3 linked regions of the Canis lupus familiaris genome follow. The protein of the gene in region 3 purifies or fractionates together with the protein of the main gene of each other region. This does not show direct contact. Links are inferred from orthologs where the notes say so. Each region holds a gene or a part of one and is shown on either strand. Other genes may lie near its edges.

What was found. Proteins that work in one complex are often made in the same cells at the same time.
Region 1: the proteins of UBXN7 (region 3) and UFD1 purify together in Homo sapiens (affinity purification with mass spectrometry; 3 studies listed by BioGRID and IntAct, with this or other methods). This does not show direct contact. The link is inferred for Canis lupus familiaris from reciprocal best matches to the Homo sapiens genes UBXN7 and UFD1.
Region 2: the proteins of UBXN7 (region 3) and CUL4B purify together in Homo sapiens (affinity purification with mass spectrometry; 3 studies listed by BioGRID and IntAct, with this or other methods). This does not show direct contact. The link is inferred for Canis lupus familiaris from reciprocal best matches to the Homo sapiens genes UBXN7 and CUL4B.

What each region holds. Positions count from the first base shown.
Region 1 is NC_049247.1:29,917,166-29,920,815, forward strand, and holds part of UFD1 (ubiquitin recognition factor in ER-associated degradation protein 1), read left to right. Parts: intron 1-375; coding exon 376-444; intron 445-1,243; coding exon 1,244-1,309; intron 1,310-1,542; coding exon 1,543-1,590; intron 1,591-2,307; coding exon 2,308-2,396; intron 2,397-3,535; coding exon 3,536-3,617; intron 3,618-3,650. UniProt on the Homo sapiens protein: Essential component of the ubiquitin-dependent proteolytic pathway which degrades ubiquitin fusion proteins.
Region 2 is NC_049260.1:93,256,912-93,260,561, reverse strand, and holds part of CUL4B (cullin-4B), read left to right. Parts: intron 1-267; exon of another isoform or gene 268-377; coding exon of another isoform or gene 378-405; intron 406-1,156; coding exon 1,157-1,699; intron 1,700-1,868; exon of another isoform or gene 1,869-1,972; coding exon of another isoform or gene 1,973-1,994; intron 1,995-3,650.
Region 3 is NC_049254.1:30,189,255-30,192,904, forward strand, and holds part of UBXN7 (UBX domain-containing protein 7), read right to left. Parts: intron 2,271-3,650; coding exon 2,123-2,270; intron 1-2,122. UniProt on the Homo sapiens protein: Ubiquitin-binding adapter that links a subset of NEDD8-associated cullin ring ligases (CRLs) to the segregase VCP/p97, to regulate turnover of their ubiquitination substrates.

The sequences.
Region 1 (3,650 bases), on a different chromosome or scaffold from region 3:
ATGAATAAACCAATAAAATCTTTTTTTAAAAAAATAAAAGGAATAAATTCCTAGAAGTGAACTTCCTGGAATAAAGGTTGTGTTTTTTTTGCAATGTGATACATAGCTACCCTGTGTGATGTTAACCACATAGAGGGAACAGCCTCTGCTGAGTGATGGACAGGCATCAAAGCAGCCTCCCACCCCCCTACCTCCCACAAAGGCAGCCCCCTTGTCACAGCAATATGTGCAGCAGGGGGATGGTGTCACGGCGGTGAACAGTGTGTCTGCAGGAGCTAGGTAGGGAGCTGCAGTAACATGAATGATGACAACCTCCCCCCCCCCCCCCCATGCTGCCACAAAACCATGCTACTGATTTTTGTTGTTTTCCCACAGATCTATGAACTGCGGGTGATGGAGACCAAGCCTGACAAGGCCGTATCCATCATTGAGTGTGACATGAACGTGAGTACCTTCGATGCTTACAGTGCACTTGGGTCACGGGAAGATGGGCAGTTGATGAACCCTGCAGGCCAGTGCCCCATGAGGGTGTCATGCAGCCCCGGGGACTGTTTGGGTGAGAGAGAAGGAAGTTGATGCCAGAACGCCTGCGAGGAGGTTGTTGACCTGGTGACACATCTCCAGCCAAGAGAGGTGGCTGCACTCACCAGCAGCATGGATATTCTGGAAAGTTAAGGAAGCTTATTCAGCTGTATAGGAAGAAACTACTGGTTGGTACATACAACAGCCTGGTGGGTCTCCAGGGAATGCTTCTGAGCAAGAGAGGCCAGTCCCAAAAGGTTATATTCTCTCTGGTTCCATTTGTATTACATCCTTGAAATCGGCGAGGCTTTAGAAATGGAAGACGGGTTGGTGGTTGCCAGGAGTTAGGAGAAGGCCAGGAGAGAGGCACGTGTGGTTATAACAGGACAACTCAGAGAGGTCCCTGGGAGGTTGGAACAGCCTAGTACTTCGACTGAGGGTGGACAATGACCAATACTCATGATAAAATTGGGAGAACTTAACTGGGAAATCTGAATAGGAGGGCCGGATGGTGCAGCTGCTGCTTATCTTGGTGGTGATACTCTGTGATTTTATAAAACGTTACCATTGGGAAAATTGGGCAGAGTATATAGGGGCAGCTTTCTGTTGCATCTTTTAACAACCACATATGACCCTGCCGTTGTCTCAATTAAAAACAAAAGCTAAGGAAGCCTAAGTGTCACCGTATCTCAAAATTATTCTTTTCATCTCGGGACCAAAGGTGGACTTCGATGCCCCACTGGGCTATAAGGAGCCTGAGAGACAAGTCCAGCATGAGGAGTCCGCTGTAAGTTCTGCCCAGCGACCCTCCCCAGCCCCAGCACTGTTTGCCCCCTTCAGTAACGGGGCCTCTGGGAGGGCGTCCTCGGTGGGTCCCAGCAGCCAACTTGAGTTTGGCTTCTGCTGGTGCTGACATGGTCACATGTCCTGCTCCTGGGGAATAGTGTGTCCCAGCTGTTGGGGGTGCAGGGATAGCAGTAGCAATGAGAGGCTCATCACCTGTTTTTGTGCTCCCATCAGGAGGGTGAAGCTGACCACAGCGGCTATGCTGGAGAGCTGGGCTTCCGTGTGAGTACCAGGCCACACGTTTTACTTTCTATGCTCCTGCCGTGCCATCTGGGGACCTCTGCAGAGATTGGACCTTTGGGTTTCTGTGCATGCACATATCTGGCACTCTCAGTTACACAGCCTTTTACATTCACTTTGTCCTGGAATCCTAAAGGCAGGCCCTGATTTTTCTTCTCCTTTTGAAAATTTCTAACCCACCAAGTAGGACACATGTATATGCTTCTCTTCAATTCACTAGATGTGACCCCATTTGCTTTATTGTCTGAGAACATGACCTCCCAGCACCGCGGCCAGCCAGACTCCCTGGGAAGCAGGTAGAGATGGCTAGTGCGCTGGCATCGGGGAGCTGGGAGGCAGCAGAGGAATCATGACTAGAAAGTGGAGCTGAGCTGTGGGGCAGTTGCAACAGAGGCCTTAGCCTGCCCCTGGACCCTGAGCTGGGTGGTCCTGCAGAGGCTGGAGCCAAAACTTTGAATCTGTCCTTTAACTACTGGCTGTCCTTGTAAGGTGGCTGTGCTTGGGCCAGGAGGTTCCTTTCATCTCACATCAGTCCCCTGAGAGGCCGGGTGGAAAGTTCTTGTCTGTCAGGAAGTGAAGGTTTCAGTCCTTAAGGGGTCTGGACTACACCTCCCAGCACACATCCTGGCTGCAGTGTCTGGGCACAGGGCACATGTATGCTCGCTAAGCTCTTGCGCACTCTCCTGCTCGCTCGTCTAGGCCTTCTCCGGCTCCGGGAATAGATTGGACGGGAAGAAGAAAGGTGTAGAGCCCAGCCCCTCCCCAATCAAGCCTGGAGACATTAAAAGGTAGGTCTGCTCTGGCTCTGCTTCCCCTGTGATGCTTTGTCCTCCTCCAGGAAGGCTCTCTGCCAGATTCCTGGGGTGGGACCACCTCACTCGAGCTCTGGAGACGAAGTCTGGACCAGGGAGGCTGGCGTGTGGAATGGATGGCACCCTGCCTGCTCTCCTGGGCCACCAGAGCAGGCATTTCCCGGTGCACGTTGGTGAGGGAAGGATACTGGTGCCCTGCCTCATCCGCCAGGCCTCTCCCACTGCAATCTAGCCTCACTCTGTCCCTCCTCCTCAGCCTCCGCCTGCCCCCAGGTGCTCCCTAATCAGCTTGCCCTCCTGTTTCACATCTTTCTGGTTCCTGTTTAGTAATCTCTTTTTCTATTTTGTGACTTCTGATAATTGATCAAGACCCCATTATGTAGACTTCCCTCAGACAGGAGGCAGGAGCTGCCTTAATGTGTTTTTACCATTTAGGGATCCCTGGGTGGCGCAGTGGCTTAGCGCCTGTCTTTGGCCCAGGGCGCGATCCTGGAGACACGGGATCAAATCCCACGTCGGGCTCCCGGTGCATGGAGCCTGCTTCTCCCTCTGCCTGTGTCTCTGCCGTTCTCTTTCTCTCTCTGTGTGTGACTATCATAAATTAAAAAAAAAAAAAAAAAAAAGTGTTTTTACCATTTGGCTTAGGGACTGTCAGAGGAGGTTTCTTGCTCTGATGACTGTCATGGACGTGGTAGGGATGAGATATGTCACCTGTCTGCTGTGTGTTAGAGCAGAGGGAGAACACTGCAAGTGTGGTTTTTACCCAGACTCTTAAGAGAGTGTAAGGAGTTTAGTGAGAAGGTGGCCCCTACAGGGTCTATGAGGCTACAGGACAGAGATGGTGAGGGCCCCTCAAGCCTCCAGATGGCCTCTCACTGCAGGCCAGGCACTAGGTCAACAGGCCTCTGCTCCAGTTGCCTTCTGGTTACTTCAGGAAGGTTCCTGGGGAGCGCCAGAGGGCTGGCTCGAGGCCAGAGTGGGTACAGCGGTAAACCCCAGAGTGAGTCACCAGGACCACACTTGTCTCTTTGCTTGCCTTTCTCTTGATTGGCAGGAGCAAATTTTAATGTCTTTATCCTGCAACTAACATTCTTCTTTCTTTCTCTCTTTCACAGAGGAATTCCCAACTATGAATTTAAACTTGGTAAGATAACTTTCATCAGAAATTCACGTCCCCTGGTCAAAAAAGTTGAAGAGGTGAGTTTATTTCACTGGTAATGAGAAGTTTTG
Region 2 (3,650 bases), on a different chromosome or scaffold from region 3:
TTCCTCCATTTCGGGTTACTCCCCTTGCCTTGCAACCCCTCCTTATTCCTTTATCTCTTTCAAAGTTTCCATTCTCCGCTCCCTAACTTTTTATTCCCTCCCTTCTTCTCTTCCTCCTCCTCCTTTTTCCCAGCTAGCTCACCCCGCCCCTCACCGTCACCACCTTCCCTCCCCTTCAGGCTCCTTCCCGCTGCTTCTCCCGCCACCTTCCCCCCACCCCGCCCGCCTCGCGTTCAGAAAGCTCCAATCAGCAACTCGGGAGGTGTCTCAAAAGCCCGCCCCCTCCTCCCTTTCCACTTCTCTTCCCCCCCTTTCTCCCTCCCCCATCCCCCCCCACTCAAGTCCTGCGGACCTGGGGGCTTCGGGACCTGGGCGCTATGAAAAGTGTCTGCCCAGTCACTTCCGGTAAGGGCGCTGCAGCGCGAAGCTCCCCGCGGGACCGTTAAGGAGGGGGTGGCAGTTACTGGCGGGCCAGGGAAGAAGAGTGCTGCCAGGGAGAGGGAGCGGGAGGGGGGGCAGCGAGAGCGAGAGAAGGAGCACGACCGTCTGGGGCGCCTTAGCCGCCGCTTTCCCGCCGCCTCCCTCCCAGCCAGCTCCCCCGCCCCCCGGGCGCCTGCAGTGCTTCTCTCCACCCCCCACTCCCGGGGACAGACGCCGCCCCTCCCTCGCCGCCGCGTGACCGGAAGTGGCGCCATCTTTAGCCTCTTGTGCTATTGACAATAACAAGCCCTGGTTCTCTCCCCCTCCCCCTTCCCCCTCCCCCCAACCACGGCATCTCCCCTCCCAGAGAGAGGGAGAAAAGGAGGAGGAGCTGCAGCCTCACAGACTCACTGAGTCGCTCCTGCAGAAAGGGGGGAGAGAGACCGAAAAGCAGGGGAGGGGGACGGCACGGCCGTTTACCTGTCTGCCTCCTCATTCGCTCTCCCCCCTCGTTCTGCTCACTCCTGGTGTCAGCCTATCCGCCTTCCCAAACCCTCCCATTCCCCCGGTGTAGCCCCCCCTTCACTTTCCTTCTCGTCCTCTGTGTTTCTCCTCTCTTTCTTCCCTTCCCCCCTCTAGCATTGCCACCTTCTCTCCTACACGCACGCAGGCATATAAACGTAGGTTTTTGATGCTCCTCTGCCTGTTGACCCCGCTATTTTCATGTTTCCAACAGGTTTTTCTTCCCCCAATCCCTCAGCTGCTGCTGCTGCTCAGGAGGTCAGATCTGCCACTGATGGTAATACCAGCACCACTCCGCCCACCTCTGCCAAGAAGAGAAAGTTAAACAGCAGCAGCAGTAGCAGCAGTAACAGTAGTAACGAGAGAGAAGACTTTGATTCCACCTCTTCCTCCTCATCCACTCCTCCTTTACAACCCAGGGATTCGGCATCCCCTTCAACCTCGTCCTTCTGCCTGGGGGTTTCAGTGGCTACTTCCAGCCACGTACCGATACAGAAGAAGCTGCGTTTTGAAGACACCCTGGAGTTTGTAGGGTTTGATGCGAAGATGGCTGAGGAATCCTCCTCCTCTTCCTCCTCATCTTCACCAACTGCTGCAACATCTCAGCAGCAGCAACTTAAAAATAAGAGTATATTAATCTCTTCTGTGGCTTCGGTGCATCACGCAAACGGCCTAGCCAAATCTTCTACCACCACTTCTAGCTTTGCTAACAGCAAGCCTGGGTCTGCTAAGAAGTTAGTGATCAAGAACTTTAAAGGTAACCAAGGCCAAAATCCATAATCACTGACTAAGGATTTGACACTTGAGCGGTCACGTGCTCTATTTATGTTAATATATTAAACAGTATAGAGGTGGCCTAATGTTTTATGCATAATCAATGAGGTGGAGGGAGGTCCTTTTTTGGGTGGAGGGTTCATTTTCCGGGGGTGGTTAGTATTCTTGTGCTGAAGCATACACCGGCGTGTTTCTGTGCAGTATTTGATGTCTGGCTCAGTTTAATCTGTTACTCAGTGTAACATTGCCAGTCGGTATGATTGATCTGGATTATACAGGTGAGAAATTTGTATTCTAAGGAGGTTTATTTGTTTCAGGTGCATAGTGAGCTTTGGCACTGCTGGGATTTTTATTTTTATGCTTCAGTAGGCCACATTCTCTAGTCCCTAGAAATGCAGGTAGCATTGGTGATCTTTTCATGCTCAAAGATGATTTATAGTTAGATTTATAATGTTGGATACTATATTCTTGAAACTCCTTGTGGAAGCAGTTTTGGAGAAAAATATTTATGATCTCTGCATATCTTTCCAAAGATAGGGTTTGGAAGTGAAAAATACTGTATACACAAAAGTAGTAACTCTGTGTACCACTAGTCTAAAGATAGGAACAATTACTACATCTATTTTTTTTTTCACTAAAATGGGCTTTAAAGTACTGACCTGCAGCTTTTAGGAAAATTTGTTCATTTCATGTTTGAGATATGTGATTAAGAGTATTATGAGTGCATTGATGCATGTAAAATCAACAATTTTTAAAAACATAATTGAAATGAATTACTTTTTTTCTGTTGACTGTATTTGTTTTTCTGACTTAAGTTTTTCGACATCCTTAACTGGCAGGTAATAGATGCTAAGATGTTTATTAAATACAAAAGTAAATGAATGAACTGAAGTAGTATTTACCAGATAAGTGTCTTGTGGCTAAATATCAGTATTGAGAAAATTAGATTCTCAGTGCTTGTGTTTTCAACATTAGTGTGGAAATCAGAAATATGCTCTATTTTGTCTAGAGCAGAGGGTTATAGTGTTTATTTTTAACCTTTTTTTCCTATCACTCCTCTCCCATCCCCAGGTTCTTAAGAGTGTTGTAATCTTTCTGATTTAATAGTAGACCTTTCTGAAGTAAATGTGAATTGTAATTGACTAATATGTTCACTGTTCCAAAGTATATCAATTTAACAGTCAAGGATTTTTAAAGAGAGGAGTTATGATCCTAATTTAATTTGCATACTGGTTTCTGAGATTTTGTTTGGGTTTTTTCTTTCCCTCTTAAACTAAAAACATATCCTTAAGGCATTAGGATATTTTAATTTAAAAAATACTCATTGCTGGTCAATGAAGTTTAAAGCCTGGCTTAAGGTAGTCCTGTCCATTCTGAAAATGCTACAGAGGTTCTGGAGTCATTTGGATGTTTTAATTTTTTTAAATTTTACTCTGCTCATGGATGTAGTTTAAATTAAAATCTGAGTTAAGATGTTTCTCTTCATTTGTAGATGGTGCATAAATGTGGGGGTCAAACAGAGTTGGGTTAGAATCTCAGTTTTGCCACTGATTAGCTTTAATGACCTTGGGCAAGCCTTACTAAATGAGTCTTCTAGCCTCAGTAGTTTTCTCCGTTGTAAGATAGAGATAAATAATACCTTCCTTAGAGCATTGTTAGGGAGATTAAGATGTTTGTAAGGTACTGTGTGCACAGTGGATATTCAGTATTTTAAATCTTAGGTGCAAAATTCATGTTGACTGACTTAGGATTTACATGTGATGGAATAAGATCGGGACTGTTTTTATCTGTGATTTTTGAATTTTGATTTTTTAAAGCAATACAGTCAATTGAAAAAAAAACCTCTCACCTTTAATTTTAATAGGTGAGTCAAAATGACTTAAACAGTATTCTGGCATTTCAAATTTTATTCTTTATGCTAAGGCTAAAAAGCA
Region 3 (3,650 bases):
GGCCCCTGGATGGCTCAGTCAGCTAAGCCTTGGCCTTTGGCTCAGGTCATGATCTCAGGGTCCAGGGATTGAGCCTCACATCTGGCTCCCTAGTCAGTGGGGGGAGTCTGCTTCTCTCTCTGCCCCACTCTCCCCTTTGTGTACCTCTTTCTCTCTTGTACTCAAATAACTAAATCTTAAAAAAAAGAAAGAAAACTAAGAACTTAGAAGATAGCTTTAACCTAAATAAATCCATTAAAAAAATCAATCAATCGGCTCCCTGAATGGAGCCTGCTTCTCCCTCTGCCTGTGTCTCTGCATCTCTCTCTGTGTCTCTCATGAATAAAAAAATAAAATTAAAAAAAAATCAATCAATCAATCCATTATTGCTATATCTGATTTTATACTTAGAGTCTGTGTGTGTGTGTGTGTGTGTGTGTGTGTATAACTCAGAAAACAAATCAATTAGGGGGTTGGATTAAGTAGTAGTCCCTATACAGAAAAACTTGATTGAGTGTATCTGTTCCAAGATTGTTAGCTACCTAACAAAATGAAAGAATGGATCAGAAAAAAGTGAATGGCAAAGAATGAAAAATTATAGTTTAGGAATTAGGAGTCATTATCAAAAGTCAAATTATAATGTAATTCAGTAGGAAAAGACATTCATTTAGAAAACTTTTTAATTAATTTTTTTTAAGTAGGCTCCACACTTAATATAGGGCTTGAACTCACAACCCTAAGATCAAGCATTGACTGCATCCTCTACTGACTGAGCCAGCTAGGCGCCCTATATCAAAACTATTTTTTTTAAGTTGGATTTTTTTAAGATTTTATTTATTTATTAATAAGCGACACAGAGAGAGAGAAGCAGAGACATAGGCAGAGAGAGAGGCAGTTCCCAACGTGGGACTCAATCCTGGGTCTCCAGGATCACACCCTAGGCTGAAGGCAGGCACTCAACCACTGAGCCACCCAGAAGTCCCTCAAAATTATTTTTAAACACAATTAAGAAAACATGTTTTAAACAGTGAGAACAGTTATGCTCCCCCAAATCAGCTGTGAATATCTGTTATTCAAGTTTCTATAAACTAAATCATGTTTTCATATTGATTTCCATGAAAAATTTGAGCTATGTTGGGGGGGAATGGGACACCAACATCTGAAATATACAGGCAACACTGACAAGAAAAAACTTTATGAAGTATTAATAATAATCTCTAAAGTTCATTCTTCATTTGGAAACAATTAGTACTCTAAAATCTGGAACTAGATCAACAAAAGAGGCAACTATGTCTTGAAGGTTCTTTGGCTTTTTAAATCTATCTCTAATTTTAATACCTATGTCTTTTAGTGTATTCCCTAAAATTCCTCTTGTTTAGTATCTCATGTTATAAACCCTGAGAGTTATAAAGGGCTGTAAGCATTAAAGTCTTATTTAAAGATCTCTTTAATTTTGTTTCAAAAATCAATGGTTTTCCTTCCAGTAGCATTTATCTCTAATATTTTCCAAAGACTTGGAATTTTGTCCCTAAGGTATTGATTTCAAATTCTCATTGGTATCCAATGTAAAGGGCAAAAACACCCAAATCTGTTCACCATTTATTATCATTCTCTACAGAGTACAGTTCCATATACTAAAGATGTTTCTAATGATTAACTACATGTATGTAACTATCATTAAGGTATAAAGGACTAGAATTATTTTTCAAAAATTTTTGTGGCAACTGAAAACTCTCCTGGGACAACGTAAGAAAATCCAGAATTAAGAAAGGGAAAGGAAAGGGAAAGGAAAGGGAAAGGAAAGGAAATCCAGAATTGAGAAATCTGAACTTTATTGGGCTTTGTTGCTACTTCTGCTATGTAACTGCTATCTAGTTTGGGAAAATGGCTATGCCTCTGCTTCCTTATTTATAAAATGTAGATATAAGGCCATCCCATAGGGTTCTTCTGAACATTAAATAATAGACATGACAATGCTCTACAGAACTTACAGTATATAAGCATTAAAATGTCCATGTGACACTTTCTCAGATGGTTTCAACTCCTAATTTTTTCAAAATCAGAGAATTAACCTAACTGATAAAAATGCAACTGCTCAATATAAGCAAGGGGTACCTCCTAACAATAAATAATAAACTCATACTCTGTGTGTGGTCTGACTGTGGAAACACTTGCTGAACTGGTACTGGGCTCTTCAGCAATTCCTCCACCATCCAAAAACATAGTAACTGCCATCTCCAGATTATTGTTGCAGGCTTCAAGCATATGTTTCCCTACGCTTTCGCTTGCACCTGAAATAGCAAAAAAGACAGGGAAAAAGTTAAAAAAAAAAAAAAAAAAGACATCTTATATTCAGTTCATATTAAAAAATAGAATTCCCAAGCAAATGAATAATATCTTTTTTCCTTTTAGGATGAATGGCTTCTTTTTAAAAACCTGTTTGCATACTTTTACAATGTTAGCTGATTAATAAATATACAAAGCTAGAAAAGAAACTGACAACATTAAAATAGTGCTCGTCCTTCATAATAAAACCAAACTAAATAAAGCATGTCTTTAAATGGACCAACCATATATCTGTTAATAAACTGAAAAAAAAAAGATTAAAGATTACATTCTAGAAAGTTAGAAATATTTTGTTAGAAAGAATGCATTTCAGTTAGCATTTGTTTCCATTAAAAAGAAAGCATTTTTTAATAATAAAGGGAGAAAAGTGAGATAGGACATTTTTGTCAAAAACATAACCAAGTCAAAATCTGGTAGGAAATGTCAGTCTTCAGGGGTGCCTTCAGGGGTGGCTCAGCTGGTTAAGCATCTGCCTTCAGCTCAGGTCATGATACCAAGTCCTGGGATGGAGCCCCACATCATGCTCACTGCTCAGCAGGGAGTCAGTCCCTCTCCCTCTGCCACTCCCCCCACTTGTGCATGTTCTAATAAATAAATAAAACCTTAAGAAAACATATCAGTCTTCAGGACACTTGGGTGGCTCAGTCAGTTAAGTGTCCAAACTCTTGATTTCAGCTCAGGTCATGATCTCAGGGTCATGGGATTGAGCCCTACACTGGGCTCAGTGCTGGGTGTGGAGCCTGTTTAAGATTATCTCTCTCCCTCTCCCCCCACCTAACCCCACTCTCTTGAGTTCTCCTTCTCTCTCTCAAAAAAAAAGGGGGGGTGGGGAGATGTCAATCTTCATCATTTAAAACTGACGCTACATATATTTATTCATTTGTAAAGCCAGTATTGTCTGTTAGATGCAATGTAGATTGGTAAAGCCCTTTACAAAACCAATTTTACGACATGTATCAAAAAGTACTCCTTTCGGGCGGCCCCAGTGGTGTAGCGGTTTAGCACCGCCTGCAGCCCAGGGTGTGATCCTGGAGACCCGAGATCAAGTTCCTAATTAGGCTCCTTGCATGGAGCCTGCTTCTCCCTCTGCCTGTGTCTCTGCCTCTCCCTCTCTCTCTCTCTCGAATAAATAAGTAAAATCTTAAAAAAAAAAAAAAAAAAAAAAAAGTACTCCTTTTTTTTGACCCAGTAATTTGCGCTTATGGTCAAATGGTCAAAAAACTTTTTTTTTTTTTTTTTTTGAGAGTGAGTGAGTGTAGTCTGTGTGTGTGTGCAGCAGCAGGGTAAGGGGCAGAGGGCGAGAATATTCAAGCAGACTTCATGCT